Alligator mississippiensis: one gene and its partner. The protein of the gene in region 1 purifies or fractionates together with the protein of each later gene. This does not show direct contact. Links are inferred from orthologs where the notes say so. Each region holds a gene or a part of one and is shown in the gene's direction. Other genes may lie near its edges. The genes, in order: PTPN2 and KPNA6.

Region 1 (16,434 bases):
GACCAGTGGTCAGCGACCACCCACAGACGCTGTTGGCAGCAACAGCAGCGGCCAGAGATGATTGAGGACTGCCCACAAACACCAATGATGAGGGTGGAGAGCAGCAACCACCTGCAGGAACCACTGTCAGTGTCAGTGGCGGCTTTTTGTAGGGGATGCACTGCCAAGCATCACCAATGGTGGTGGGGACACCACCATGGACCAAAACCTACCTCCGATGCTAGAGCGGAAAGGGAAGTGGTGGCCACAGAGTACTACTGAGTATCAAAGGTACAGCAGTAGAGATGCTGCCACTGAAAGGCAAGCCATGCCAGTGCCGGGGGGAAAGGAGAGCACAAACAACAGTGCACCGTGGGAGATCCAACATGTCTGCCTGAACCGATGTGAACACACTTTATAGCTGTGTGCTGATGCCGGTTTTCCAACCGGTCCTCAGAGAGAAGGATAAAAACCTCACCAGCCAACATCTGAGGAGGACCAGAAGTGATTCCTCCAGAGGGCCCGAAGCAGCCGGGAACAAATGAGTGCCATGGTAGGGGCAAGAGGAGGGATACCCAGCTAAAGCTGGCTTGGAGGAGCCAGAATAGTTACCTTTCTTGAGGCTGTGGATCCTAGATGAAGCTGGTGGAGACTGGGACAGTGGTGAACCTGTAAAGAGAGAAAGAAGAAAGGAGGCTGAAGCTGTAAGTAGTTGTCAGGGAACAGGAGGAAGGCACCCCGGGGTGAACCTTAGAATGAATCAGGCTGATGCAATGCCTGAATATGGATGGCAAACTCCTGAATATGGATGGTACACTGTCTGAACCAGAACTGTGATTAGATATGGGATAAGGCCCAACCATGGCTGATGGACTTTGTTTTAGCCTGGGTCAAGGACTACCATCATCTCTGGTTGGCGCAAGATGGGGTGTAGGGGAGGCGAAGCCCTGAGATGGAGATCCAGGCAAGGAAGATGAAAGAGCTAACCAGGAGAGGCAGGATTCAAGAACATCCTCCCAGCAATAATTTGTAACAACAAGACGTGGCTGCAACATAATGACTGGGGCTTTGTAATGTAGGGAAGCCTTTACATGTTCGTATAAATATCCCTTATCTTCAGAGAAGGAATGGCATAGTGCCCTTTCCAAAATTTGCACAATGGAAGACTTGAACATGATACAATTTGACTTGTTAAAGGGCAAAGCTGTCGGATGTGTATTTGTGAACACAAGTTGCTTTAGTGAGAAATTTCTTCATCTACCCCCAGTTCCAATTCCAGAGTGATTTACAACAAAGTATCACAGAAAAAAAAATTCTAATTGATGACGTTTATACCATTGGTAGCAAATGGACCAAAAATGAATGGAGCAGGGCACCAAGATGTGCGTGCTACTTCAAAGGGCTCAGAAGGCTAGGCAGAGCTCCACAACTGCATGTTGCCTTAAGCAATGGCCTAATAGGGTAATTGGCCTGCACCTGCATGCAGTCAGGTGACCAGGAGGAGGCAGGGCCCTGGAGGACACATAAGTCTAGGGCTGGAGCTAGGAGGAACACCCACTCTCTCTAGCAATTGCCAAGGAAAGGAGTCTCTGCCCAAGTGAGCTATCTGAGACTAGGTGCTGCCTATTTTGCTGCCTACATGAACAGTGAGGATCCAGAGGTTTAAGGTACCCATGGCTAAGAGATGTGTTGTCCTAAGGGTGGAAGTTTTACCTTCTTAAAAAGACAGAACACAGTCTCGATTAGTGTCGTTATGTTGTAGCCCCAGAGCTTGTATTTGTGTTATCATTTAATAAGGTGGACCGGGATGAGGCTATAAGGGGAGGTTTGGAGGCCTCATTAGTGCTCAGAAAAAAGGGCACATGATCTGGACAGAGCCCAGTGACAGGCACATACAGCTGGGCACCAGAGAGAGGGAGGAGTGGAGAGCCAGATGTCAGAGAAAGGCATAGAGTCAGGCACCAGAGAACTTGGTGCCTGAGTGGTGTAGAGATGCAGGAGCCAGAGGCTCCATGTCAAGAGGACTTATAGAGTTGCTAACAACAGTGTAACATCTGCGAGGCATGGGACATGCTAAAGGAAGGTCGGAGTTGTGTGCAAAGACCTAGACATTGGGCATTAAATGGCCAGCTTCCCACATTATTATAACTAGTATCTTAACAACAAGGCATGGCAGAAGAGACTGGGCAGACTGCCCTAGACAGGGGGGTGGGCTGGTACTGTGACCAGGCCCTGGAGAGTGCCCCAGTGCCACAGTGAATATGGAGAAACTTGCACTTAGTCCATTCCATAGTGGAACCAGAGTGAACTGTTATGCCAAGATTATCATAAAATTATCACTTCAGGTTACACCATTACCACTTTTATTTTTACAGCAACAGTTACCAGACATCAGCCTTGCAAACAATATCACACATTATACAGAACAGTCCCTAGGGTAACCAAAGCACCACTGAGTTCAGCACTGCTGCAGATCCCTACTCCCTGAAGCCAATTTAATTTTGCCACAGTAGCAAGATGCTTCCCAAATTCTCACTTCACTCCAACAAGAAAATATATCCTTGCAATAATTATTTGTTTTTTATGCTGCCATACAAAAGTATCATCATTGTCCTTTTCCAAAAAAACCCCCAAAAACTAACCCTGGGTGGATTCTAGTTTTTCATATATCTCTGTTTGGGATGCATATACCCCATTTTAACCTCAACCATTAAAGATTAAGATGGGGTGGTTCAGCTTCTAAGTGGCCGAGGACCACGCACCCTGTGGGCAGCACCCGCTGGGGTCACAGTCCCTGGCTTGCATGGAGACCCCCACCACTGCAACAACCCAGTGAGGATGCCCCCCCATCACTGTTGCAATGCATGCCACACTGCCCCAGCCTCAATAAGCTTGTCATGCTGCACTGCACCACTCTCTAAGGTGGGCCCTGAGCATGGAAGCTGGAGGAGGAAGAGGGCTCTTGGAGATTCTGGCTGCTATTGCAGCCAGAGCAATTGGGGGAGTGATAGCTGAGTTATTACCTGCTTTCTCAACATGGGTCAAGCACTAGCTGTGCATCAGTGGAAAGATAAGGAAGCTGCAGGTCAGAAAGGGTTCTTCCTCAGTAAAGGGCTTTAAGGGAACTATTTAGGTAAGTGGGAGAGGCTGCTGCAGACTGACACCTCTGGGTACATTTGCACCTGAATATTAATGTGACAGTTCTAGGAACATTTCCAGAGCTGCCTTGCCAGGACACTTCTGAATTTGCAGTATGTGTATGGGTACAGGGGGGTAAGGCATATCTAGCCCCTCTCTTCAGCAGAACCTACCAACAACATAGTGTAGAAAAGGTCATAATGATCTCACCAGGGTGCTGGAGTCCTAACCAAAATGCTGGATGGGGGAAACAGTGTTTGGCAAAGTACAGTAAAAATTAAAGCAGGCTCACTGCAAAAACCTACTACATGAAACTGGTAGAGGATGCCAATTGGCAAAGTCAGGAAAGCTAACCCACACCTTGTCATAAAATCCATAGATGCATCACGAGTAAGTCAAAGGAGGTGATCCTCCCCCTCTATATGACATTGGTCAGGCCTCAGTTGAAGTACTGTGTCCAGTTCTGGGCACCCCATTTCATGAGTTAATAGTCATAACAGATGGCATGTCTGTAAGGAGAACAGAATTAATCATAAGGCGCACCAACAAACTAACCTCAACTTCTTGCAGTTGAGATTACATTTAATCTCTGCACCAATGTTTTTCAACTTCTTTAGGCTCAAGACACCCTCCGGAAAATGCTAAATCTTAGTTTTCACTAATGTATTAACTGTGAAAAAATAATAGATCCATTTTTCTGTTGCAGAAACCTCAGAAAGACCACAACAGGTTAGAATGTTTTTGACACTATGGATTCCTATTTGAAATGTCTGGGTTTATCTGGTGAATCATGTTTGCACACCTAACACTGCTCACACTGCTGTGGCACCCTGGTCAAGAATCACTGCTCCACACATGAACACCTCATGCCTCCTGGGGCACGATGACCACCTGCAGGTGGTGGCAGTGGCAAGTGGGGACTGCCCGCAGGTGGCCGCAGTGGTGTTGGCAGCAGAGGGTCGGGGTGGTGAGCACTGACCGGCAGTCAGAGACTGCCTGCAGACACCACTGGTGGTGTCAGCAGCGAGGGGAGGGGTGGTAAGAGGCAACCACCTGCAGGTGCAGCTGGCACCAGTGGCAGCCAGTCTCAGGGGGTGCACTACCAATCTCATGGGGTGCACGTGCACCTGCGTGCACCCCCTACGTGTCACCAATGGCTCCACATGACAAACTATTCTCTTCACCTTCCTCTGCAAGGTATCCAATTAATCTATATTGAAACTTTGAACACTAAACAGATTTATGCAGAGGCCAAAGCACTAGAACAGTGATTCTCAACTTTTTTTAGATTTGAGGTATCCCTTGGAAAATGCCAGCTCTTAACTTTCCTTCATGCCTTGACTAAGGAAACATAATAGAACAATTCTTCTGTGGCAAAGAACTCAGTAAGTCACAACAGGTTAGAATGCTTTCAACATGGTGGATTCCTATTTGAAATCTCTTGGTTTATCCTGTGAATCATGTGTAGGTGTTTACACACATAGCACCCCATGGCACCTTTAAAAGGATTTTGCAGTACCTTCGTTGAAAATCATTGCATTACTGGGTCATGGCTTGTTTTGCCTTTGTACATACATATCCCCTTCATCACTCTTCGTTTTGTCTCCACAGGTAACTTTAAATTCAGATTACACACAAATTAGTACAAGCCCAGGGAATGGATTAAATGGAAGAACTCCCATGACTTTATGATTATACTTGTGCTGCTCTTAATTCCTGCTCAAACTAGTTGGAACTACTAGGTGTGTAATTCTAAAAGAATACTGTTATAACAGTATCTTGCTTGCTTTTTTTAATCTTCCTCTGAATTATAAAATACTTAACTACACAGTTAATGTGGAATGGGAACATGGTATTGACAATACTATATAATTATATTTTATAATATTAATTGTATATTCCACAATTCTCCATGTTAGAGAGCAAAACTTGCAGTTCAGGGATTATCCAACATTTCCATTTCTAGAAACTGTGCACTTGTACAACATGTACCATGAAGTCTCAACAAACAGCAATGTTTCCAGTAACCTTTGCTTTACTAGTTGGTACTCTTCTATTCTAAACCCAGGTCTAAGTCACAACAAATAAATGCTCTTTCCATTTTCCAACAGATGGGTGCAGGCATAGAGTTGCATAACAGATTCAAAACAGAACTTGTACTGCAACCCTCCACCTAAGAAAATACCTACGTTGCTCACACCATGAGCCTATATACCCAAATGGTTTTACAAGTAAAAACCTGCAATGTACAGGGCAGCTCTCATTAGAAGTCTACTCATTAGAAGAGATGATACAATCTCACACGTTCATACATCAGCAGCACTACTCCTCTTCATCTTCCCAAAGACATACCAAGTTGCCAATATCACATTTAGTGTACGTGCCCAGGGATACTCCTGCTGATTCTTGGATGTAACATTATCATTCCCACAATCTGGACTGTTCAGAAAGAGAAAAAGATATAATTATGCTCCATGTGTCTAAGTCCTTCTTTTACTTTATTCTTATCAAGCAGGCTAAGCAGAATAATGGGGCTGAATGTAGTTACTTCCACTCATTCAGTTACTATGGGCTCATGTTTACCAAGGTTTGACCACATCTTTTTGACTTGTATCTACATTACCTGAGATCCCAGGTCGTCTCCCAACCACATACTGAGAGGCCCAGAATTGCTTAGCTTCCTAGCTCAGATGCATTAAGTCCAGCATGGCTACTTTACAGGAATGAAATAATTTAACCTAATTTGTACAGACATCAACATGGGCGGATTTAGGATTTGGAAAAGGAGGGTGGAGATGATGTGGCACATCATCACATCTAACACAACACACATTTTCTAGTTAAAGGGAAACTAGAAGCTTTACTAATATGCTCGGTGGCTAGCACTAGCACTATATTATTAATAATCAAAGCAAAAATAAATATACTGGAATTTGCACTAATTTGCTACATTATATATACATTTAAACAAACCAAAACAAACTAGGTAAAAAAATTGTTAGAAGATATTGTGACACTAATCACGTAATCATTATAGTTAAATGTACATCTCTTATTCAGATTTATAAAATAAAATCTAGCCTTCCTGAACATCTTGACAGAGCCTCCAATACTTTACTCAGTCATTTCTACACCTGAGTTAATACTACCACACCTGAGTTACGGTTTTTAGCTAGAGTTAAAAACAGTCTGCAGGTCTGTGATATAGACAAGAGATGTTGCCAGGAAAGGCTAACAGACAACGAAATTGCAAAAGAAAGGACAGTTTGGATAGTGGAACACCAAGACCATTAAAAAAGGATTGTGAATCCACTGCAGAGTGAAAAGAGATTAGCAGGAATCAGGGGGGTGATAGTGAGCCATTAAGCCAATTGACTCTTTCAGCACTTTCTGAATAGAAATACTGATGCCCCTCCCAGGCAGTTGGTTTTAAAGTCTGGGTGGAGCAGGAATCAAAGGAAGCGGGGTGTAACTGGTCAAAAACCAGTTTCTCTTTGAAGAGAACAATTTCTGTACTCCTGGATAACTCCTTCTCCCCAGATGGTTCAATAGTCACACTTCATCCTTATTGAGCTCTGTCACAGTGCATTAATTCCTGTCTACTCCCCTACCATTAAAATAATTTATTTATTTACTTGTTAATCTTATACACTACCACATAACACATGCTTTAGTATACATTCACAGGACATTAAACTATACTCGTCATCTATCCCTTTATCTTGCAGGTAGACACAGAGGTCAAGAACTACATAATAGACCTACAAACTAATTTGGAAAATACCTATTTGGGATTTGATTAAATACCCTAAGAAAATATTCTGGAACTTAATGGCAAGTGATGTTGCACCAGCTCTGCTCCAGAGATACACACAATATTGTTCCTAGAGAGGATAAGTGGGATATTGACCCTTTCCACAGAATCAGGGGATTCTCCTTGGCTAGTAAATATGGTTCACTTTATTTCACTCTAACCCAAAAAGCAGCAGCCAGCCCTTGACAATTTTCTGAGAGAATAACACAGAATCACAGCCAGAAATTTATTTCAAAGATATCTACACTTCATTACAATAACCACACACACATATATTTTTCATACACCCCAGATGAACTAATTTAATTAATTCACTTACAAGCAATTGCAAACATACTCAGATTCCTCTAACATGTCTTTTTTTCTTCTTTATCATTTATCATCATGATGTCAAGACCAGTAGGGATACAGCAAAACAAGCAGGGCTTCATCTACTGGGGCAGTAATTTGCAACCAGGCTGCCATGACACCCTAGCGTAACTTGAGATCCTTTCAAAGATGTCCAGGGGGTATCAGGCAATGTTAGCCCTGTTAGGTGTGCAAACATGATTTCCAAGATTAAACCCAGAGATTTCAAATAGGAATCCATAATGTTAAAAACATTTTGGCCTGTTGTGCTCTTTCTGAGTTCTTTGTAACAGAAGAATTGCTCTATTATTTTTCCACAAAAAATGAGTGATAACTAAGAGCTGGCATTTTCTGACCAATGCCTCAAGTTGGAAAAAGTTGAAAACCACTGTACTAGGGTATGGGACAACTTATCTGATATATATGAACTTGTCACAGGGTAAGGTACTGCTTATCCAACGCTCCATGGAAATTACTTTTGCACCCCATCTATACTATGGTAATTAGAAAGTAAGCCATGGTATCTTAGTCCTCAGTGCCTGAGGGTTAAGTTACACAGGCTAGCTTCTGATTAGCACAGGTAAGGAATGACATCCACAGGGGCAGCTGCAGCTGAGCAACAGATGCACAGTAAAGCCCCACCCTGTGATACCTTTGTGCATCTGTGTGTTTAAGCAGTGTAATGCATATAATGGGAGGCAAAAAAAGCAGCAGAACAAAATGCTCACAAACAGATGTAACTGCATTTGGACTTCCCTTGGAGAAACAAGCAGTCAGAGATCTGGTCATCTGGCATCCCATGTTATTTAAGTTGTCCCATACCCTAGTACAGTGGTTCTCAACCTTTTCCAACTTGAGGCATCTGTCAGAAAACACCAGCTCTTAGTTTTCACTTGACTGTAGATAAATAGTAAGAGCAATTAGTCTGTTGAAAATAGCTCAGAAAAACCACAATAGGCCAGAATGTTTTTAACACTAGGGATTCCTATTTGAAATCCCTGGGTTTATCTTGCAACTCATGTTTATGCACCTGAGCCCAAAAGAAAGGAAGACAAGGCCCCTGCACATTACTTGTGCAATTCCTGTGAGTTGGAGCAGCCTCACATTTAGAGCAGCCCCACATGCAGAGCAATAATCACTGGATTAACTGGTGAGTCATGCCATAAATTTAGACATGCCAGCCATTAACCACCATAAAAAGGACTTTCCAGCTATAAAAAGAGCTGAGCAGCTACAAAGTTAGTGCTTGAACGTGCCTAAGAACTCCAGAGCTGGTTTCTAGCAGCTTGACGTGAAAGTGTGGCTGGTCGTGTGAGGAAAGGATGCGAAGAGGCAGAGCCAACCCTAGGGGAGTGGGGGGCCCCCTTAACACTGCATGGGGCTGTGGTGGGGTACCGCAAGGGTGGGGGGGGTCTCCATGCTTCTTCCGTAGCGCAGCCCCACAGGAGAGGATGTGGCCGCTCCGCCCAGGTCCATGCGCCCCCCACAAAGTGCAGGGCCCAGTGTAGTCACCCCGATTTTCCATACCCTAGGGAGGGCTCTGTGAAGAGGGCAGAACAGCACTGCTAGGTCCTATCCAGGGTGACAAGGTCAGTCAATCGGATATCTGAACTCAACTACTTGGAAAATATTTTTCTTGGCAAGCTGTGCCTGAGCGCTTGTACCTGAAAGCTTGTCAGGAAGAATTTTTCCAAGTCTTTGAGTTAGTCTAATAAAAGATATGGGCTTTACCCAAAGCACCTTCTGTGTCCACGTCCTCATAGCCAACACGCCTGGGCCTAAGGCTTTTTTGGCTTATTGCACGGCCTGCAGCTGGAGCACGAGGTGAGGCGCAAGCCGCGTCAGCAGAGGGCAGCAGAGCTGACTGAAAAACCACTGCTGCCATCCTAGGGCTCTGCCTCTGCGGGAGTGGGCTGGGCCCCTGGATCGCGTCCGTCTCCGCGCGCGGGACTGTAGAGGCGAGGCAAGCACTGCATCTCGGAATCTCGGAGGCGACCGTTGAGCTGAAGAGGCTCCACCCCCTCCTCACCTAGACGTTCCCGTGCAGCCCCGCCCCAGCCCTCGCGGCTTGTGACGTCACCCCAGGTGCTTTCCCCGGGGGGCGGGGTTGCGCCAGCCCCCGGGGGGCGGGAGCTCGCGGCGCGCATGCGCGCGGCGCCAGCGGAGAGCCCCGCGGGTTCCCGTGTGCGCGCGCGCTAGTGCCGGCGCAGCGGGGCGGCGGGCACTCGGCGCTCGCGCTCCGTGCGTGGCGCGCGGGAGGGGTTATGAGCCTGTCGGGCTTCAGCGGCTACTCTCGCTCCGGCCGCCATCATGTCAGCTCTCATCGAGCAGGAGTTCCAGGAGATAGACGCCGCTAACGACTGGCAGGCGCGCTACCTGGTGAGTGCGCGGGAGAGGGGAAGGATGCCAGGAGCCGCTGACCCGCGGCTCGGTTTCAGCTGCGAGGCTGCGGGAGGCGGCTAGTGCGCATGCTCTGAAGCAGGCACGCGGGAGGGAGAACGGAGGCGCGGAGGGTGCACTGGTCGGAGCGGAGAGGGGTGCGCGCATGCTCCCTGGCGAGCGCAGGGGGCGGGCAACGAATGCGGTTGGAACAACGCATGCGCCACGCGGGAGAGGAGGGGGAGGTGGATAGCTGCACATGCGCCACTGAGGGGAGGCGTGCATCGGGACTGGAGGGCGCAGGCGTTCCGTTCCCTCCCCCCCCTTCTGTCTTGGCTTCCGGGGCGCTGCTCCTGTCTGTGGCTGGGCGTACTGTTCCCCCTAGTCCCCCCGTTTTCGGCTGGCCGATGTTTTACCTCACGCCTGTAAAGTCAGGCTGAGGCGAAAAAGCGGCCGGGAGTAGTAGTTAGCCCTGTTAAGTCTGAAGCTAGGCAGAAGGCTGGGGAGATGTTCATCTTCTAGACGGGAGTAGAGTAGAGAGGCTTTCCTGAACTCCAGCTTGCTTCCTCTGAAGTGAGCCCCGGTTCATAAAAGCTTCTCGCTGTCTTATTTGGTTAGCCTGTAAGGTGCAACTCTGCTCTGCCACTGCCTGCCGAACAGCAAAGCTGGGGACTGCCTAGGATTCTCTCTCTCAGAACTCTTCCCCAGGCCGCGCCCCCCCCCTCCCCCCCCTTGCTGCTGGCTGGAGAGTTCAGCGGCAGCACAAATGTGGTAGCATTCATTGATTGGGAAGATTTGATGGCACACTCTGCCTGTGGTTCTGATGTGCCTGGCATTGCAGCATTTAACTGCCTGCCCCTGGTCTATGATATACTTGTGCATTATTTTGGGCAGAGGGCTGCTTACTGAGTTTTGGCAAGCCATCAAGGGCCGTATGACGGGCATCCCAGGATAAATATTAATTTTCTAAATTTTTTAGGGGCCCCACAGGCTGGATAGAATGGCCTGGTGGGCCGCATCCAGTCCCCAAGGCGCATTTTGGCCACCCCTGTCATACAGTCATAGAAATGAGGGTTGGAAGGGACCTCAGGAGCGCATCTAGTCCAACCCCCTGCTCAAAGCAAGACCATCCTCAATTAGATGGCTCCAGCCAGGGATTTGTGAAGCTGTCCCTTAAAAACCTTCAGGGATGGAGCTTCTACCACTCTTCTAGGTAACCTGTTCCAGTGCTTCACCACCCTCCTAGTGAGAGAGTTTTTCCTAATATCCAACTTAAACATCCCTTGCTGCAGCTTGACACCATTGCTCTTGGTTATCAAATCCCCCCACTCAAGTCTTTTTTTCTGCAGACTAAATAAACCCAGTTCCCTCAGCCTCTCCTTGGAAGTCATGTGCCCCAACCGCCTAACCATTTTCATTGCCCTCTGCTGGAGACTCCAGCTTGTCCACATCCTTTCTCTAGTGGGGGCCCAAAAGTGGACACAGTAGTCCAGGTGTGGCCTCACCAGTGCAAAATAGAGGGGAATACTTACTTCCCTCGATCTGCTGGCAATGCTCTACTAATGCAGTTCCCACAAATTCTGTTGTCCCCTTTTCCTGTGGCCCTCCCACCTAAGCATGGGGTTGTTCTGTCCTTAGTGCAGGACTTTGCACTTGTCCTTGTTGAACCTCATGAGATTTCCTTGTTGAACCTTATATCAGGGAATCTGTGCTTTAAACATTAAGGGATACTGAGAATGGATGGATCCCTTGTGCTTGTTGCAGGATTTCTTGTAGGTGGTGATTGCATTTGGGGGCTTGCATCTTAATTCAAGATGTTGTATACCAACTTCCTGGAAGATCCTGTGTTGCTTATTTGAATCAAAGCAACTCAATTACATGCAAGAAAATAACCTGCTTCCTATTTTTGTGGAAATAGGAGCAGTTAGTAATAAGGATGGTAATTTGCATTCTGAGATTTTTTTTTTTTAATTAGGGTGTTCACAGCATTTCTTGATAAATGCTGATGAGCTAACTTCTACTGTACCATATTGAGCTGTCTTAGGTAATCATGGAAACAAATGAGGAATTGACTTTTAATTTCTCTACTGTTTAAGAACCCCTGGCAAAATTAGTACTTCCTAGATCATTCTTTCTTATCCACTGCTTTCCCTCTTAAATTACATTTGCAGTTTGGTCTACTTTTGAACTTATTTTTATATTAATATATAAATAAGACATAGCATTTTAAACAGTGGTGTAATATGACAGTAGAAGACCAGTAATGTCTATGACTATAAGGTAAGCCTATGTACCAGTAGTAATGATGTAATCAATATGGGTCACTATTGCTGTTAAATAGTTACTGTTGTATGGGTTACTATTGCTGTAAAATATATATAGAAAGCACAACTGGTGTCCAGAGTGCCTCTATAAATCAAGTTAGTTTTCACAAATCCTCTCAGTTTTATTAAAATTAACTTGGATTAAAAATGTAAATATTAAGAGCTCTGCAAACCGTATAGTTTAAAACTATAGATTTTTCTAGTCTGATTTCAGATAAATGATGTAGTTTTAATAGATGTAGATTTTTGTTTGACTTTTCAACTTGTATGTGTGTGCATACTTACAAAGTGTTTTCAGTAAGCTTCCACGAATTTCAGTCCTACACTACAAAACTAAATTTTTTAATCTTTCTGGATTTGTTTTAACAGTAGAGAAATGCAAAGTAATTGTATTTCTGAATTCAATCAAAGTTATAGTGTAACTATAATATTGTGAGCTCATATGAAATTATACTCAATGCTTAGGTTGCATGTTCACTGAAATCACATTAACCTCTAGATACTTTACTATGAAAATATAAATAAGAAGTAGGTACTCTATAGAAATAATTTGATTACGTTCAACAAATTCTGAAGAAAAAAAGAAAATTGAAAACCAGGGGATTACATCCCCTATCTACTGAGTCCTTTATCTCTAACAAACTCATGGAGATGAAATTGTATTAGATCACAGAGCATCTGGAAAGAGCTCAAGGGTTTATTTAGTCTAGCCACAAGCTAGCAGAGAGCAGATTTAGATTGGACATTAGGAAGAACTTCTTCACAGTTCGAGTGGCCAAGGTCTGGAACGGGCTCCCAAGGGAGGTGGTGCTCTCCCCTACCCTGGGGGTCTTCAAGAGGAGGTTAGATGAGTATCTAGCTGGGGTCATCTAGACCCAGCACTCTTTCCTGCTTATGCAGGGGGTCGGACTCGATGATCTATTGAGGTCCCTTCCGACCCTAACATCTATGAATCTATGCTGCTCATTGACCCCCGTTTTTTTCAGTACAGAACTGTGATTAGGATATATTTCCCCAACAGATTGACTTCCTAGGTGAATACGCTGTGTATCACATCTGTCATCTGGTCATTTCCTACCTAGTTCATACATGAATAATTTTGTGATAATACTTGGAGAGTGGGGGTCAACCTTTTTGGCAGGTGTATCACAAATTAGCCTTGCACCCTCCCTGAATGCCACTGCCCAATTTGCTACTCTGCTTTCTGCTCCATACTCTGTGCCTTCAGCCCAACTTCCTACTAAGCCTTCTGCTTTATGCTTTAGCTGCTGCTGCACTACCTGTCCCCCTCACTGATCTGTTGCATGCACACAGAGGCTGCATGTGCCACTTGTGGCACTTGTGTCCCAGGTTGTCTGCCCCCGGCTGGCATAAGAAGTTGATGCCACTTATGCTCAATTGCCTTCCTTCAAGACATATTTGGGCCACTGTAGAAATGTTTTCAGCTAATTTGATCTCTGGGGAAAATGGGAGACTTATATAAACATGCATATTGAGACGTTTTCAAAATAATTATAATTGAGAAGTTGGGAGTTTCTTTTTTAATGTTTTTATATGGTGGGGAAAATAATTTTTTCCATACTTTCTATTAAGAGGTTTAATGTTGCTGTCTCACTTAATATGTTGAGCTGGTCCAAAACGCACTTGTATGCTGTATATTTGTGTTAACCTTGTAAGAAAGCAGACATTGATGTTAAAAAAGACAGCATACAATACCACACCTTTATGAAAAGTAGGAAAATTCTGTATCTCGGGAGCTCCAAAGTGGTTGCCTGCCAGCTGTTTCCCTTGTTCAGTGCAGTGCTTTTGTTGCTTTTTATAGCAAAACAAATGCCTAATTTTATTTCTTGTGCAAAGTGTCACTGCAGATAAAGTGACATAATATTTGCAAAACAATCCCAGTTCTTTGAAACTATAAACTTCATTAAAGTACTCATTCAAGTCCTGTCTTCAGTAAGAGGATAAAAATATTGTAGCAAGATTTTTTCTCAGGTTTGGTTTGGTTTTTTTGTAAGGTGGTAGGGAATGTAGATTTCAGGAGGCCAAAGAAGACAAGGCCCAGAATTAGGGGTGCACTGGTAAAGATTTTCTTGGCTGATACTGACAGCCAGGTATTAACAAGCTGTATTGGCTGATACCTATCCAATAACTGATTTACAGGAATGCAGCCTGGAGCTTGGAGAGCAGCATCTGGCCGGTTAGTCTGTTGAGGCTAGGGGCATGGGGGAGGGAAAGGGTGGTGGGCGGGGCGGGATTGAGGCCCCCATGGTGAGGGATGGAGTGGAACAGGAGTTGCCCAGCCAGGGCAGTGCATGTGACCCCTCTGGGAGCAGGACAGAGCTGCACATTCCTTGTCTGGGGGCTGCAGGGGGTGGAGGGGTGCAACTTTCTGATGCTGTGCACACTCCCGGTGGAGTTATGGGGGAGCCTGTGCCCCCCTGGATTCATGCTTGGGGTGGGGGCAGGCTGTGGGCTCAGGGCCAGGAGCTGTACTGGCCTTTTCCTGGTGGTGGGGGCTGGACTCAGGGCAGGCAGGGGCGGGGCAGTGTGTGTGGCGGTGGCTATGGTGGGGCTACAGCGAATTTTGGGGTGGCCATAGCCCACCCTGTAGCCATCCCTCCCAGCGCTGCTGCCCCTGCCTGCCCTGAGCTCAGCCTCGGCCCAGCTCCCCCACCAGGAAGAGGCTGGCACAGCCCCTGGCCCCAAGCTTGCGATGGGTTGTCTGCCCTCAGCCTGCACACAAATCTGGATGGGGGTTTATGCCCCTCCTGCTTCTCCCTGGGGTGAGTGCAGCGGTGGAGAACTGACCCACCTACAGACTCCCTGGATGAGCCTCCTGCGACTCTGTCCCACTCCCAGCGGGGTTGCATTCACTGCCCTTGTTGGGTAGCGTCTGCCCTTGCCCCACTCCTTCCTTCACTGTGGGGGCCTTGATCTGTTCCTTCCCCATCCCCCTCCCCCCAAATGTCCCTTCCCCTCCACAGATTTACTGGCAGAAAACTGCTCCCCAAGCTGCAAGGCTGCACTCCTGACCAATGCATGCTGTGGCTGCACACATGCACGTGGCATTTATCGGTGACATCAGCTACACCGGCCAAAAAAGGCCAATTGCTGATAACGTTAATTTTCCTTTTTTCGGTGCTGATCTGATATGCCACTGATATATCGGTGCTCCTCTACACAGAATAATTAGCTTTGGAGGTGAAACTGAATAAGGGGAACATAGAGCATTTTTGAGGGATATTACAACATTGATGTGAAAGACTGAGAGAAGGTAGAAATAAGATGGTATTACAAAGTAAAACATTTATTTCTTTACCTCACAAAAGAACAGAATAAGGCTACTAAGGTTCTTTATGGTGTATTGAGACTGTCAGGAGCTGTTATTTGCCAGTGGTTCTTCAGTTCTGTCAGAGATTACCCAAGCTTGCCATGAACACCTCTCTGTTGCTTGTGGTTATTGAGTTAATTTGTGCAGGGCTAGCTTAGTTTCATAGCTTTATAGTTGGTAGGGTCAGAAGGGACCTGAGTATATCATCAAGTCCGACCCCCTGCCATGGGCAGGAAAGAATGCAGAAATAAAATTACCCTGGCTACATATCTATCTAGCCTCCTTTTGAAGACCCCCAGGGTAGGAGCGAGCACCACTTCTCTTGGAAGTTGGTTGCAGATCCTAGCTGCCCTGACTGTGAAGTAGTGTCTCCTGATACCTAGCCTGAATCTACTCTCCATCAGCTTATGGCTGTTATTCTTCGTTAGTTCCGGTAGTGCTCGGGGGAACAGGGACTCTCCCATTGCCTGCTGGTCCCCCTTGGTCAGTTTGTAGATGGCCACCAGATTCCATCTCAATCTTCTCTTGTGGAGGCTGAACAGGTTCAGGTCCCATAGCCTCCCCTCGTAGGGCCTGCCTTGCTGCCCCCTGATCATGTGAGTGGCCCTCCTCTGGACCCTCTTGATGCAAGCTTAGAAGGCTAGTTAGTGAGGGGATGCAAGCCAAGAACATAGAGCAAATGGGGGTCCAGGAGGCTTGGAGGCATCTCAAGGGAGTGATCCTTGGGGCTCAAAAGGAGTCTATCCCATTACGTAGGAAGGGAGGTAAGGGGGCAAAAAAGCCCCCTTGGCTGAACAGGGAACTCCAGGAGAGTCTGGGGGCAAAGAAAGAGATGTATAGGTAATGGAAGCAGGGAGCAGCCACCAAGGAGGAATATATCTCCCTGGTGTGCTATTGCAGGGAATTAGTTAGACAGGCCAAGGCGGGGCTTGAGCTCAGGCTGGCTTCAACAATCAATAGTCCTTCAGGTATGTAGCGGGCAATAAAAAGTCCTTCTTCAGGTATATAGTGGGCAAAAGGAAAGCTCAGAACAACATAGGGCCCCTGCAGGACATATCAGGACAGTTGGTGGTTGATATGGGGGGGAAAGCATTGCTCTTCAATGAGTTCTTCGCTTCAGT
Region 2 (16,032 bases), on another chromosome or scaffold:
TTTCTTGAGAAGGCCTCTTTCACCTTTGAGTATGTTCCCTCCCCAATGGTCTTTCCCAGCTGGTAGCCATTGGAGAGTAAAAACTCCTCCATCTCCTCTTGTAATTTTGGACCACTCATTCTCTCAGGTCATCATGTAGATGCTTTGATATGACATCTCTGTGCTTTGCTTCTTCTCCTAATCCAGGCCTGCATTGGTTGCAGCCCCAGATCCTAGATTATTTTCCAGCCTAGACAAAGTCCCTTGATTAAGGGGGCAGCTGGATTGGGACATCAAAATGCAAAGCCCCTATTATGATGCAACCTTGTATTTTATGAGTCAAAGGGGAGGGCTGCCATGGGAGGCGAGTACCCAAAATGGGCAGTTGCTTAACCTGCCCGCAGCCCTGGGCAGTCGCGCCAGGGCAGTGATGGGATAATCTCCAGGGACCTGTTTGTGGGGATTTGGGGTAAGGGATTTTTACACCATGCAGTGATGTACAGACTTTGTAACTCTTAATGTAACCCATATATTTGCCCCCGCTGTAGATTTGTAGTGGAGTGGGCAAATTTTTCAAGATCAGATTCAAGTGAATTTGGAGGGTTTGGTCTTGTCCTTTCCTTAGTGGACATGGAGGTAACCGGCTTCCATTGTAATCTGGAGACATGCTAGTTAGAAAAGTCTTTATAAGATCTACACGGCTGGTTGAGCACTGGAACAGGCTACTTGGAGAGGGAGGGGAGGGGAGGTCTCTGTCACTGGGAGCTAAGTGCATGTTTGATGACCACGGGTCTGGGGTGATTTAGACTGGGACAGTCCTGCCTTGAGCTGGGGGCTGGGCTAGAAATGGCCTTTTGAGGTTCCTTCCCCCCATGCTTTTATGGTTCCAATACAGGCAGGGGTGCCCATGGGTTACTTCTATCATAGTAACACTTAGTGCTTACAGAACCATCCCCATCTGTATGTCTCGGTGCTTGTCAAAAGAGGCTAGTATCAACCTTTCGTGGATGGAGGAGCTGAGGTACAAAGAGAGTGACTTGCCCAGTGACCCAGCAGCCCAGTGACCCAGTGAGAAATTGAGCCCAGGTGCTATTCCAGGGGTGGGCAATTATTTTGGGCAGAGGGCTGCTTACTGAGTTTTGGCAAGCCATCGAGGGTTGCATGATGGGCAGCCAGGGGCAGCTAAATATTAATTTTCTAGAATGGCCTGGTGGGCTGCATTTTGCCCACCCCGTGCTATTCATTAGGCTACACTACCTCCTTTGTTGAGGGGCTGCCCATCTTGGTCACTGCACAGAGGTGGAACAAAGATGATTCCTGCCCTATTGACTTTGTGATCCGCTTTTGGGGACCGGTGAGGGAAACGCCTTGTGGAGTAGGCTTTGCGTTTGTGCTCAGTCTTAGTTTACCAGACCAAGTAAGAGTCCAGTGTGAGGGGCTTACGGGATCCCTTTCTAAACCCCATGATGGATCCCCACAGGGACTGGCGTCCAGGAGGGAACATACAGATCAACCTCAAAGATTCCTTTGGTCTCAGCATCTGCAAGGTAAGACCTTTTCCTCAGCCTTTGGGGAACAGAGGCAGCTCCCATCTGCCTTCTCAGGCTGGTGGGATCTGGCTTGAAAATAGCCCTAGATTAAGACCAGGTAAGTCTGGAGCACTGAGACTACGCTGCTAGTCAACATGGCCTCAGCTTCTTTGTGCTCCCTGTCTGCAACCAGCTGTGGTCTTACACTTGGGGCAGGCTCTTTGGGGTGGGAGCTGTGGCTTTGCTGTGTGGCAGCATGGTGCCCAACACAGCAGCTCTGGTCTGTGCCCAGGGCTCCAGGGAAGAGCCCCAGGCCTTGATCTATGGGCTTGGGAACGCAGAGAAGGCCATGCCCCAGCTGTCTTGTGATGTAAGAGGAGCCTCCCGTGTCACAATGCAGAAGGCTCTCTGCCTCCTGTTTGCCTTGCTCGCATTGTGCCCTTTGCACTAGGCTCCCAGACTGCCAGGCGTACTCCTGGGAATCCTCCCAAGCCTCTGCAAAGTGTGTCAGGGCCTCACAAGGGTGTGGGAGGTGAAGGGGTGGATGGCGCTGAGCTTCTGGCCCCGCCAAATCACCCATGCTTACCTTGCTTCTCTCGTCATCAAACAGGTCTGGGGCTAGGACATGAACTCTCAGGAGACCCCACAAACTCGGAGATTCCCCATCGAGGCAGGAGATTCCCCCAGCCTGGCAGCTGCTCCAGAAACCCAGGAGCCAGTTGCCACTGAGCACACTGCAGCAAGGTACGGGCAGTGATGGGGGGCCTGAAGCTGAGTGCACATGTGAGCCAGCCATTCCCTGTGCGCAGGGGATGCAGCTTCTCTTGGCTGGAAGCTGGGAAGTGACCCCCAGTGAGCACTTGGGCTCTGGCCTGGGCCAGTCCTGCTTCCGCTGGGTCCATCCCCTTGGTTGCTGTAGGGGCAGCTACTGTGTTTAGGTCATTCACATACATCCCCCCCACTCCAGAAACCTGGGCTTTTCTGGTCTGTGGAGAGGGAGGGTGTTGCCTTATTTTAATCTCTTCAATTGCCCCCTTTGATCCTGCTGGGGGGGGTGCAGTGGCTAGGAGTCTCAGCCCTTTCCCTCTGCTCTTCAGTGTCTCCTTGGTCCAGCTGTGTTCTTCCCAAGCACTGGGGAGGAGGCCACAGAGACATCTCGGGGCTGGAAAGAAAGAAAGAGAAAGGGTGCTGTAGCCCCATAGGAGCTGCTCCTGTTCAGGGGAGGCCAGCCCAGCTTGGGCAGGCTGCGACAGCCTCTTGGCTGTAAGAGTTGCCTGATCCAGCTCTGGCAAACCATGTTAACAGCCCAGGCTGGTTCCTGCAGACTGGGCACTGAAAAAAGCTCCAGAGGGGCAGGGCTGGGTTAGGGTTAACTGTGTAGTGTGCCCTCCCTGGGTACCTGCTTTAGTACAGCTTAGTGCTGGGAGCAGATGCACCCCTGGTGGAGTCCCCTTGACTTTGGGGCTTCAGGACTTTGGTCTGGAGCCTGTGGGTGGCGGAGAAGGGGGCTCAGGGGGTACAGTGATGAGGAGCAGGGAAGGGGCTGCTGGCTTAGCAAAGGGATTACATGAGCTGGAGGAGGGCTGGGATGGCTGTGTGTGGGAGGTCCCTTCCCTACTGGGCTGGTGTCTCTATCACCGGCAGAGAGCAACAGTGTGAATGGAACCAGGTTTCTGTAGAAGTGGGCTGGCCCTGCCACACGCTCATCCTTGCCACCCTGCCTTCTCAGTAAGCTGTGCCGCAGAGCACGAGACCCAGCTCAGGCCTCGCGAGACTGCTCTGACTGGTGGGTGGCTCTGCTGTGCTGAGGCAGCTGCCTGGGAGCTGCCATATCAGCCCCCGGCAGCACCCCTGCGGGCTCAGGTCTTGACCCAACCCCTTGGCCTTTATCTCCTCAGACATGCGGGCTCTGTGCAGGATCCGCCTCCCTGTGAGAGCTGAGTTTGACAATGCCGGCCCCCCTCAGTGGGGCATCTGAGGGGTCTTCCCCTTGTTCTACCGATGGACGTGGGCAGTATATTCCAGCTGGGTCTCAGGCTGCTGCTCCATCCTGGTATCCTTGGTGTAGGGGTGCAATGCCAGATCCCATAAAGCCTTTCTCTGCATAAAGCCAGAGGAAAAGGGCACAAAGGACCTGTCTGAGCCGAGTGCTGCTGCCTCCCTGCCCTGTCCAGGCGGGCTCTGATCCCCTGACTCAGTCCAGCCCCTGCTGGCAGGAGCCAGCTGCTAGACTGCCAGGCCAGCCCATGTTTCTCTGCATCCAGATAACCATGTCAGCAACCTTGCACCAGCCTCCTGGGAGGCTGGAATCAACCAGGTCTCCTTTCCCCCCACCCACAACCCCCACTCTCTCTCATTGTGCAGGCAACTGAGAAGATGCCCAGGGTGCCACTGCCTGACGCTGCCCAACGTCCCCATTGACGTCTACATTGCCATGGGTGGGAACCGCAGGCCGCGGACCACCTAGCGGTTCCCCCAAGTTGGACTCGAGTGCTGAGGCCACGGAGGCTGCCGCCAGCAACGCCCCGGCAGCCGGAGAACAGCAAAGGGCGCCACGCAGAACGGTGACGCACATTTTAATAAAAGGACGTCTTAGAATGTTCCTCTGCATCGGGTTCCTCTGCCGTGGCTCCCGCCAAGAGACTTGGCAGGGCCTCTCGCCGGTGCCTGGTGCCTGGGGTCTCGGCAGGGAATGACCGGCTCCAGGTTTGTGGAGGAGGTTGCCTGGCAGAGGGCACTGCTTGTGCGGTCCTGGCTTGCTGCAGAGGCTTTGGCACCAGGCTCTATCAGAAGCTGGTATGATTTGCTCCTGACAGTCTTTGGGTTCAACCTATGTGTCTCCCCTGCCCCTGCCATGGCTGCCTCTCCCTGCTGGGCTACCTGGGGCTGCTTCCCAATGCCCTTCTAGAACACTGGTTTGTCCCCAGCCTGACCCTCCCATTCCCATCCTCTCTCTTCCAGCCCTGCAGCATCTGCTTGGTACCCAACTCAGCAGGCGGGCAGGCAGCTCCTGCAAGGGCAGAGCGTGGGGTGCCCTGGTTCCCAGGCTCTCCCTATTCTCACTCTGGCCTTTCTGGTGGAAGAGGAATTGGACGGACCCTGCACTGGCTGGCTGGAAGCATAGGTAGCACTAGCAGCCTCCTCCCCTGCTCCTGCTGGGTTTGATCCAGTCATGGGGAGGAGTGTGGGGAATGTATTTGAGCACAGAGGTGTTGCTGGACAGCCTGGGTTGGGGCAGAGGTTGGTGGGGGTGACGAGATTCGCTTTAACGGAGCAAGGAGGGTGAGGTTCGGAGTGTGATCAAGTCAGTGGATGGGACTGCAGGTGGTCTTGGATTGTGCAGGAGCTGAATGCTGGATGGGTGGCTGGTAGCAGGGGAGCCTCCCATAGCGTGCACTAGCACAGGGGCTGCCCACCCCCAGGGGAGGGAAGGAGGTGGCAGGGAGCCAGCAGTAAGAGCATGTTGTGTGCAGGCTGCTCCAACCAGGGTTCCTCCAGGGCTCTGCTCTTCATCACTTGGGAGGTAGGGCACAGAGCGCTGCTGCCTCATCCCTGCCTTCCAAATGTGGAATCACTTTTATCCTTTATATCTCTGAACCGCCTGTGAGTTTTGTAACCACCTTTGTTGGGGGAGAAAAGTTCTTTAATCCAGAGCTTTTCATAGGCAGATGTTGAGATGTCTATGCCTTTGTTTCTCTTGGATGCACCAGGGGTGTGATTCTCCCCTGCATTGCACCAAGGGGCATGAGTAGCCCCCTGATTTGGCAGCATTTCAGGCCTGCTTTGCATGGGTGGGTTGGCATTTGTTTGCTTAACATCCACACCATGGAGTGTGTGTATTTGGAGCATGTGTGTCACAGCCATGCCTGGTGCTCTTAAGCAGAAAGGGGGAGATTCGTGATGGTTCCCAGGTCCAGTGGGCCTTTGTGGCAACAAGTTGAGAGGTCCATCTCCCACACGGACAGGTTTTCTCCTTGTGGTCAAAGCAGTACTTCTGCTGTGATAATTAGCCTTCTTTCTGCATGTTTTCTGCCTCTGGCCAAAGGCATTAAGCTAGCAGTTGCCAGCTCCTCACCTGTTGAAATTGGAGGCTTCCATCCTTTAATTCTACTCTATCAGGCATGAATTGGTGTTGGAGCAGCAGGTCTGTCACGGGTGTGGGGGCTGATGTGTCTACCTCATTTGACTTGAAATGTTTTCCTGCCATCTTGGCCCCCCATGCAAAGATGAGAGCCCGTCAGAGCTCCATATAAAGGGAAACCTGGCTCTGCAGGCCACGTGCCACCCCAATGAAATTACATCTTCACTAGCTTCCACGTGCTGGGGGTTGGAGGACTCCTGCCTATGAGGATGGGCTGTGGAGCATAAGGTTCCCTGCCAGCAGCTGGCACAGAAACTCCGTTTTTCCATCAACTTGCAGCTTATGCTTTAACATCCCTGGTTCCTGCTGCCCTGGGGTTGAGAGCAAAGCTCAGACAGAGAGGAGCCTGGCAGCAGATGTATACCATCTTGTGCCAGAGACTATAGGGAGCTTTGTCCCCTGCACCCGGAATAATAGAGGTAACATCATTGGATTTAGCAGTGCGCGCAAAAAACGCCTTGTGTTGCCGTATGTTCATCTTGGATTTCTCTCCTCTCTTCTCCAAGACAAGGGATCATTAGATCATCCAGTGTGACCTTGGCAATGCAAAGACAAGAGTCTGTCAAAGCTCCTTCCACAGGGAAAGCTGGCATGTTGTTATGTTTTGTCCTGCTATCACTGCATGGAGCCCAAGGGCATGTTTAGCTGAAACTCTGTTTTAGAAAGCCATGCAGTCCTGCTCTGAAGCCTCAAAGACTGGAGGAGCCAGTGCTTCCCCTGGGTGGTTTGTTCCAACAGTTCATTCCCCCACTGCTAGACACTGGTGCCTTCATCCTAGCTTTGAATTTGGCTGACTTCAGCTTGCAGCTGTTGGGTCTTGTTCTGGCCTTTTCTGATTCAGATAGTCTATAAGGTGTATCTCTACCTTGCCTTCTGCCTTTGCAGCTACGTTGGAGAAAGTGTTAGTGTCTTAGTGTCACTAGGAAGGTTTTTATATGTTGAAAATCAAATTGCCTCGATAGTCTCTCGGATGTCTCTGTGCAGCACTTCCTTCAGCCCTTCGATCATTCAGGGGTTCTTTCTGCACTCTCCCCAATTTTTCAAAACTTTTTTTTAATACAGATGCCCAAATGGGGTGCGGCATCCTGATATCTACATCATCAGTGCCACGTGCAGCATCCTCCTCATGACTGCTTCCTTGCTCTGGGATCTCGTTTTGAGTTGTACACCCATTAGGATCCCTACATCCTCTTCAGAGTGGCTGCCTTGCAGAATCCAGTGCGCCAGCCTGGAGGCACAGCCTGCAGTTTTTCTTCCGGGACTTATGAACCTTGCATTGGGCTGCCTTTAACGACATTATGTTTGAATGGGTGCACCAGGTGATTCACTAAGGCAGCTGGTTCCTGCCCTAACTCAGCAAAAGGGTGGAAGGTAAGAGTGCTTGGGGCCCTCTGATGGAGGTCCCGTATGAGCAGTCTCACCTGATGGAGAAGGCTGGAACAGACCCCAGCCAAGTCCCAGACTGGGGAGCTTCAACACTGCACAGCAAGGGACCCTGGTGTAAGAATGTGCCCAGGGGCTGCTCTCGCCCGTCTCCTATGCCAGAGGGCTCTGAACTACTTTGTTTTCATTATTTGCCATCTGCCACAATTGATTTCATATTAACCCCTGGTCACCGTCAAAGCATATTGTCCTGATCCCTGAGACAGCGTGGGAGATCCCTTCCCCCACTTGAATCATAGCTCCCCACAGGTAACTTTTTTTTTTTTTCTTTTTTGAGATTTGTCAGTTATGCAGATATTGGTCCATCACTCTCATGTTGCTATTGCACTCAATAAAAGCAGAATGTGCAGTTCCCATGCTACCTGTGCCTGGCCAAAGTCTGCCGGTTGTATTAACTCTGTTACTTTTCCCAGCTCATGTGTAATTTCCAAAAATCCCATTTTTATTGATGAGGTCACTAAAACCGCACTGGCCAGTACCAATCCTGTATCTATTCCTGTGCTAAAGGTCACCCCCTCCTCAAACCCTGCTGTGCAAAGGCATCTAGATGGAGCAAGCTGTGTCCTACAATCACCGGAGTCCTCTGTGACTGCATGAAGCAGACTGGGGGGGAGGCATTCTCAGAGGCATATTGTGGGGCAATTATTACACTTCCTGGTCACATCTGCATGAGACGCTGACTGCACGGTAGCTCGTTACTACACAGTAGCATTGCGTGGCACAAAGTGTGGTGCGACACTACTGCGCAGGTGACGTTACCTAAAAGCCATTCAGCAACGCTACTGTGCGCTGACTCCAGGAACTGCACAGTGATTTAGTACTTATGTATGCAAGTACTGCACAGTCAGCATCTTGTCATATATGGGATAAGGAAAGCTCCTGCTTCCAGCTGGGAAGGTAGCATCTGATTTCTTCCTCAATGCTGCTCCTGCTTTCCTCCTTTCCACACCGTCTGGGGGAGGCTCGGGCTGGATCCCTGGTCTGTGGGTCAGCACCGACCTGCCCGCCTGCTCTCTAGGTGTTGCAGCAGGCTCTGCTCTGAGTGCAGAAGAGAGGCAGGGGGGAAAGCCACCCCTAGGCTCCTTCTCTCCCTTGGGCCCCTTGCTATGCAGTGTCAAAGCTCCTCAGGCTGGGGCCTGCTTCAGCCTTTTCCACCAAGTGAAGCTGCTTTGAAGGGACCCCTCCGAGCTCCTGCTCCACCTTTGGGCTGGGCTGGGGCAGAAACCAGTTGCCTTAGTGAGTTGGCACGAGCCTTTCCCAGCAAGATCAGCACTGCTGGCATCACACTGCTGGGGAGAGCGGGGACAGAAATGGAGGAACTAATAGCACCCCTTGCCTCTGCCAGCACATGTCAGCCATATACATCTCCCTCTGCCCGCAGAGAAAAGCAAACAGCCATTTACCCTGGGTCTGAGCACCAGTACCTTTCTCAGGCGGGAGGGGGAGAGCAGTTCCCGGGTAAAGGCAGAAATCTCTCTCTCGTTATTGGGGTTAGTCCTGGGATAAGGAAGCTTTCCCTTGGTCTCTGCTCCAGTCTGGCTCAGGTGGCTGCTGCCCCTGAAATCTGGCAGGTGGGCAGCAAGCTGCTGCTTTGGCACCAGGCCCTGGCAGACAAACAGCCTCGTACAGCATGGTTGGGTTAATGGCACTTGCCCCCTTGGGTGAGGACAAGAGCCGGCCAGAGCTGGGGACTGCCTCCCCTTCACCTGGTCCCCGAGACCAGGGCCCTGCCCTGCAGTGTCCATGGAGCCGGCCCATGGCCAGTGGTGCCCAGCAAGGATGCTCCCGCGGGAGCCGGGGATGCCCAGGCAGGGAGTGCACACAGTGCCGGATTTAGGCTTAAACTACTTAAGCTACAGTTTAGGGCCTTGCAATAGAGATTTCATAGGTGTTAGGGCCAGAAGGAACATCAGCAGATCGAGTCTGACCCCCTGCCCGGGGCAGGGAAGGGCGCTGGGGTCCGACGGCTCCAGCCAGGGGCTTGCCCAGCCTCCTCTTCAAGACCCCCAGGATAGGGCAGAGCACCACCTCCCTCGGGAGCCCCTTCTCCCTTGAGAGCCCAATAGGAGGGGCCTCTAAATGAGAAGAAAAACCCCCAAACCCTGGGCATTTTCACTCTATGAATGTATATTTCATGTATACATTTCAGGTGTATATTTCATGTGTCATAATGTGACAAAAATATACCTCTGCCTAATACAAGAGGTCCGATTCACCCAAGGAGCCTTGTCTGCCCTCGGTATATACAGCTCCATGCAGACGTAACGAGGGTCCCGCTCTCGCGGGTTACCTTCGCCCCCTTCATGCGCACGGAGCCCGGCGCTCCAGCGTGTCGCTGCCGCCCGCGCCGGGCCGCCAGGGGGCGCGCTGTCCCTTTAAGAGGCGTCCGCATCGCGTCGCGCGGAGGTTTGTCCGCTCGCGGCCGCCGTTTCACCCCCCCCCTCGCTGCCCGTCCGCCATATTGTGGCCGCCGCCGCCTGCGAGCCGGAGCGTCGGAGCCGCCGGAGACAGCGATGGGTGAGGGCCGGCGCCGGGGCCCGGGTGGGCGCCGGGGGGTCCCCCTAGCAGGGTGCTCGCGGCCCCGGGGGCGCTGTCTCATTCCCACGGAGATCCCTGCGCGGGCCGCGGCCTGGGCCTGCCCCGGGGGTGCGGGCCGGGCCGCGCCGAGCGGCGCCCGCCTCCCCGGCGGGGCTCATCCCGCTCTCGGGAACTCGTCTTAAAAAAACCCGCGGCCCCGGAGCAGGCAGGACCGAGCCGGCTTCTTTCCAGCGTCGCTGCCCTGCCCGGCCCGGCCCTGTCGGCTCCCGGGTGTCAGCCCTCAGGAAGCGGGCCCGAGCCTGGGCGCAGAGTCGCTGCGTGGGGCTGCCTCTGTGGAGGCGACAGGGAGCAAAATACCCGCGTGCGAGTCCAGGTGTCCCTCGGCCTGGATGTGCCAGTTCGCCCTCGTGCCCCGGTTTCGTTACCCGCGGGGTAACCCCGCTGTCACGCCGTCCGTGAATCGGGGCGGGGGGGCGCCGAAATGCAGCCTCCCGCACGGACCTGGCTGCCTGCGACACGTCTCCGTGACAGGGACAGCCGCCCCCGCCGTCTGCTATGGGCGAGCCCCAAAACGGTCTCGCCCGAGCCGTCGAGTTGAGGTCTCGGAGCGTATCCGATTTTTGCGTGTCTCCGCTTCTATAACGCGCCCGTCTTGAAGCGCTCTCAAACTGTCCTTCTTTGAAAGTGGGTTCCCTGCATGTAAATTGGAGCTGGGCCCGTTTTCCAGCGAGGCGCGTACGGCACGAAGCGAGGGAAACGCGTCTAGCGAGCGGACGGTGACGGGTCGCTCTCCGTAGGAGCATCGTGCTGCGCGTCCTTGATCTGCTCTCGCTTGGCTGGGAGCGAAGGCTTTCGACGCCGGGAAGGGCGAGACCGCCCTTTTTAGGCCCTTAATGAGCCAGGCTGGAGCGGGGGGGGGGTTGGATGACAAGCCAAAGCAACCCGGCTGAGCGTACCGCCGGCCGGCCGGCCCCTCTTGAAAGCCAGGGCCGACTGCTTGACGACGGCGCTGTCGAGCGAGGTGTCAAAGGAAAGGCCGGTCTAGTTGCAAGTCCCTGGTTCTGGGCCCTGCCTGGGCAAAACGGCCTTTCCGGGATCTTTTATTCCACCTCCCAACGCCGCTTGCTTGTAAAACCATGACTTAAAAAAAGCGGCGCCGAGAGCAGGAACGAGGTAGCGATGGAGCTGTGCCGTCCGGGACGCTGCCTGACGTATCGCAACTTGGATGTCAGCTCTTGACCGGAGGTTTGAACTGAATTGAGGTTGGAAAGCCGTCACTTGGCTTCTCAAAACAGAGGGCGAACGCAGGGGGAGCAGGCCCCCTTTCGTGTGTCCTGCTGGTCTGTGTTACATGATTTACGACCCCGGCTAACTCAGCTCTCTGGATGAAAGCAGTTGAATAGAGTAATTTAGGCTTTACATAAAAAAAACCTGCACTGGCAGATCATTGAGGCAGTGGTTAAGTGCTCAGTTTGGGTATACCAAAACAGCCGATGCAGGTAATGTTAACATAACAGAGGGACAGAGCTAAAGAGATTGCTGTATATAGCAGTGTGTGTTATGTCCAGCCCTGCGCAGCAAGCTCTTTGCTGCGCAAGCTGTGCACACACAACATAGAGTAGTGCACCACGCTTCATGCTGACACAAAACTACTTGAGACAAAAACTTGGGCAGCTCAGTTAGGTGGCTGCTTTGCTTTGCATATGGTTGTATGGACTGAACACTTATTTGTGAAATGAGTGTGGGAAAGGGTCAAGATAAAGGCATGGAAATAGGATCTCTGTTCAATAAACGATTTACAAACCATTGCGGAAGGCAAGTAAACTTTAGGATGACCTACAGTCTGGGGGTGGGGTGCATACACAACACTATCTAAGTTTAACAAATTGGGTATTAGCAAAGATTAATGTTGGGCGTTTTCCCTTGTAGTCTTCTTGGGGAAGGAGTTTCAAGGCAACCTGGAATGGTGAAATGCTTGGAGCAGGTACAAACACCAAGTCTTAAGTGTTTGGTTTAGACAGAGGCCTAATCCCCTGGTTTAAGTGCTATTATACTACTCCAGCTAAGATCAGCTTGGTCTTTATTATGCCTTTGTAGATGCTAGAGCCTGTCTATGTATGCTGGGATACTTGTCTTCTGCACGAAGCGCGCAGCTCTGTGGAGAAAGCGACAGAAAAGACCTGGAAAATGTAGGAGGGTAAAGAAGGTATCCAGGTTGTAGCTATATTGGTTTAGAGGAAAAAGCGATTGGGATTGGTGGTAGAGGTGATTATATCTTTTATTAGACCAGCTAGATTTTTGCAAAAAAAATCTCTTTAATTGCAAGCTTTTGGGCAGACAGTTGAATGTGAAAGTGAGTCTTTGGGGACTGGCTGAAGAAAAAATGGCAACCTCTGTGTTTATTCCCTCAGGCCTCTGTAATCTCAACCCAAACCTTAACAGGATTGAATTTGGTGAAAGACCAATATACCAAGTGACGGTGAATTCCCTAGAAGCAAACCTTTGCTTTTCCTCTCCCTCTGCAGCCAGCACCATCAGCAAAGTGGCTGTGCCTTCCAAAAATGAGATCACATCACGGGCTCTCGGTAGCTAAAACAGAAGGGAATGAGCCAATGGTGACTGCTGCACCAGACAGCCAAAATAATTGCATGGATAAGCGTTTTACTAGCACAGAATGTGCTGTGTGCACAGCACACAGCTATGGGATCCAAGGCAGGCTGTGTTAAGACAGGTCTTAGCATCCACTGAATTAACGGATGTTCGTTTGTATTGAACATTCAGGAAAGAATTTGCCTTGAGAAGGTAAATGTGGCCCAGGTACGAAACAGAAAATACCTATGGTTTTCTCTTCTATTTTTATTTTTTTTAATAATCTTAAACTTTGTTTTACTGAAACTTTTTCTGAACAATGCCACATGTAACACTTAATCTGCGTATCTGAAATATTGGAGGGAAACCTCAGTTTAATTTCTCTGATGGTTTCTCTGCATTACTTTGCTTTTTCTTGCAAGTGAAACCTCACTGGTACAAGAGGTGAGGGACGACTTGAAAATGGGTATTGGAGCTAAAGAGCAGGTTCAGTAAACCCCCCCCCTTATTTAGCTAGTTCTAGAAAGGCACTAGATTGAGTTAATGTTGTCCCTTCATGTGTACATGCAGCTAACTCTGTCCTGTGTATATATTCTTCCTGACAAGCTTAATTAGATGGTCAGATATTTCTCAAATACAACTTTAGGTTCTTTTCCCTACAACCTTTGACCGTGGTGAATTCTCTTAGTTTAGTTACGAACTATTCAAGGAGAGAGTTTCTTAGACAAATGTTGACAGGTCCTTATCTGTAGCTGCTGCTGGTGAACCTATGGAAACTATCTGCTAGCTGGTAAAGCAGGACTCTGCATTCTTCTCTTATTTACAAAAAAAAAAAATGATGTTATCCACTTGCATTTAAAAAATGATTTTTCAATTCCATTGTATTTTTGATACTGTTCTGAATTTTGTAAGGCTTTTATTTCTGTACCACCATTCAGGTTATACAGATCTTTCAACAATCAGGAAACTAATTGCAGAAGTAATGGTAAAAGCACCTTTTTTTAGTGCTGTCAGTCACACAGCAAAAGGATTTTCTTTCCATTTACTAACTTATTTAGTTTATCCTGATCCCAGGTGTTACTTCTACCTATAGTTATTTAATTAAAAAAAAAAATCACAAAAAAACGGATGTGGTCTTGTAACTGTTGGCTTCTCTTTTATATTTTTAAAGAAATTACAGTGATTAGTGTTAATATATTGGCTAGATCAAAGGAGGAAAGGATTACATTCCTAAATGCTTCAGGGGCACTTATTGGTGTTCCATTGTCTCCGTGGCTTTGAATGGTTCTGTTTTGCTCACCGAATGCAGCAATTTTACTGCGACTTCCCAGCAGGAAGCACAGTCTACTGCTATAGTTTGAAGGAAGTGCCAATTAGTGGTTGAATGCAAAAGAGGTTGGATGTTGTACTAGGATGCATTTTACTAGAAAAATGTATTGCATTTCCACATCTCCTGCCATTTGGGGATCTCAAAGCATTGTACAGATACTAGCTAGTCAAACCTAACAATTTAGTAGGTGCTGAATAAGTCCAAGGCATTATCTTACAAGATAACAGGACATTCATCTTTCAGCGAATCAAGTTTCTCTGAGAAAGCAGAAGAAAAATGCAGTTATCAAGACTTTTTGTAAGAAGTCGGCTTTTGAAGGCACATTATGTCTAAGCCTTTGGACAATTTAACAGGTGATGGACAAGCAGGAGTGTCTGGCTGACTTAACTTTCAGTGCCCAGCTATTACCTCTTGTATTCAGTTAAACAATGACAACTGGTGATAAAACTCTATGCAAGGCAGAGATTGGCAAATCTTTCATTAAAAGAAAAAAAAAAGACCACAGTCTTTTAAGACTGTGACAGATGAACCCAATGTTATGTGAAGCTGTTGTACTCAGCAAAAGCCACTTCACTTGTTTTGGTTTCCAGCATCATTAAACAGTCATTAACTTGTCCCGTGAAATGCTCACTTCCTTGGGAGGAACATGGCATGTGCTTTGTAATCAGTTTGCTTGATATTTTTTTTTTTTTTTTTTTTTTTTTAAACCTTGAGCCGTTCCTTCGGCGCATGGACATTTTCATCAGAAATAAGCCCCTCAAAGAAATGAACCTGCCAATCTTATTGCTTTGGTGATGACTATAATTAGCAATTGATCTTTTCCTGCTTAGTGTCTGTAGGCCTGTTGACCTCTTTGAGGATTGCTGTGCAATTAACTGAATAATGAGCATTGATTCCTCATTATCCTTACAAGCAGCTGTTTGGGAGTCTGTAAAACCCAACTGGGCTTAAAAGGCAACTTTCTACGAAATAGAAGAGTGGAAACTTCAGAGAAATGGGGTGGGGAGGCTTGCAGTCATCGTCTTTCCATGTGCAGAGTTAAACAGATTTCCCTTGAGCTTTACATGAACACAGTGCAAGGTATATGTATTTGTATGTACATATACTTGCATATGTAACATCTTAGCCCTGTTATGGTTTAAACTGCAGTAGTAACAGCTGTACAGATTATTTGTGGAGGTCGGTGGGGACATCCCTTGTTAGACTCCAGCTCCCCCTTAGAAAGTGCAAGCTCTTAGCTTTCACTTGTTTTTTGACTGTGGAAAAATAATAGAGCAGTTTTCTTGTTGCAAAGAACTCGGAGACCCGAGCAGGTCAGAATGCTTTTATACGGTGGATTCCTGCGTTGAAAGCTCTGGGTTTACCTTGTGAATCATGTAGATGTTTTGACACCTGACAGTGAGCTTCCAAGGGAGGTGGTGCTCACCCCGTCCTTGGGGGTCTTCAAGAGGAGACTGGCCTGGCACCTGGCTGGGATCACATGACCCCAGGCTTGACCCTTTTCTTGCCTGCCAGGGGCAGGGGGTCGGACCAGATGGCCCAGTGAGGTCCCTTCCGACCCTAGAATCTATGAATGGTAATAGTGTGCGGCATCCTTAAAAGGATCTCGTGCACCCTGATTGAGAATCACGGTGTAGGTGGTATGACTCTTATAATAGTTATGACTAAAGGTGTAGGGTGATGTCATTCAGGTCTTGAGTTCACTGACCTGTCTCCAGTGCCCTTTGTACTCCAGTTCAGTCATGCTTTCTCAGGACAAATCTAGCCACATGTTGCCAAAATATAAAAGGCTTCAGAAATTGGGCAGAGGCAGGGACAAGAGTCGCAGAGACAAGAGTCCCATTAGAATGGGACTCTTGCGTTGTATTTTTGCACGTCATCCTGTGTTCACTTGTCACTACTCTTCTAAATTAGAGGCACCGCGACAACTTTGCACTCTGCCGTCTTTCCCATGAGTTTGGGCACAGCTTTTTCTCCTTGTTTTTGATGGAAAGTCAGTCTTATCGCTTTTGACTACAGTATTGGTTTCCCTGATGTGCTTCAGCAGACAGGTCAGGTGGGGGCTTATGGCTGCTCTGAGGTTAACTGTCGCATCTTGATGTCTGAGATTTACAGATAAGGTTGGAAGAGGAAACCTGGTTAACTGCACTTGACCCAGCTGTGAAGTGGAACTGAAACATTTAAACTAAACCGGACCTGGGGAACAAACTGGCCAGTGCAATGATTGCAGCTCCTCTATGGGATATCATGATATGGAAAGAACTTGGGAACGGCAGCTTTTTCTAAAGGCAGCTGCTCACATTTTTCTGGGTAGATAAGTGGAGCTGTATGCAGTTAACAGCATGGAAATGTTTTGGATGAACATGGCCATATAAAGCAGACGAGAGCTATTTTCAGGATCTCATGCCTCCTTTTAAAAAGGCAGGCTGAAGGGGTAGCCCCTTGGACCGATCTCATTCTAGTAGTGCTATGGCTAGTTTGCC

Evidence for each region.
Region 2: the proteins of PTPN2 (region 1) and KPNA6 purify together in Homo sapiens (affinity purification with mass spectrometry; 3 studies listed by BioGRID and IntAct, with this or other methods). This does not show direct contact. The link is inferred for Alligator mississippiensis from reciprocal best matches to the Homo sapiens genes PTPN2 and KPNA6.

Annotation. Positions count from the first base shown.
Region 1 is NC_081826.1:97,922,828-97,939,261, reverse strand, and holds the start of PTPN2 (tyrosine-protein phosphatase non-receptor type 2), read left to right. Parts: upstream 1-9,482; 5' UTR 9,483-9,589; coding exon 9,590-9,658; intron 9,659-16,434. UniProt on the Homo sapiens protein: Non-receptor type tyrosine-specific phosphatase that dephosphorylates receptor protein tyrosine kinases including INSR, EGFR, CSF1R, PDGFR.
Region 2 is NC_081829.1:5,505,123-5,521,154, forward strand, and holds the start of KPNA6 (importin subunit alpha-7), read left to right. Parts: upstream 1-9,500; 5' UTR 9,501-9,605; coding exon 9,606-9,609; intron 9,610-16,032. Other genes in the region: TSSK3 (testis-specific serine/threonine-protein kinase 3), read right to left, coding at 1-119; protein FAM229A, read left to right, coding at 2,134-2,252, 3,873-3,975. UniProt on the Homo sapiens protein: Functions in nuclear protein import as an adapter protein for nuclear receptor KPNB1. Binds specifically and directly to substrates containing either a simple or bipartite NLS motif.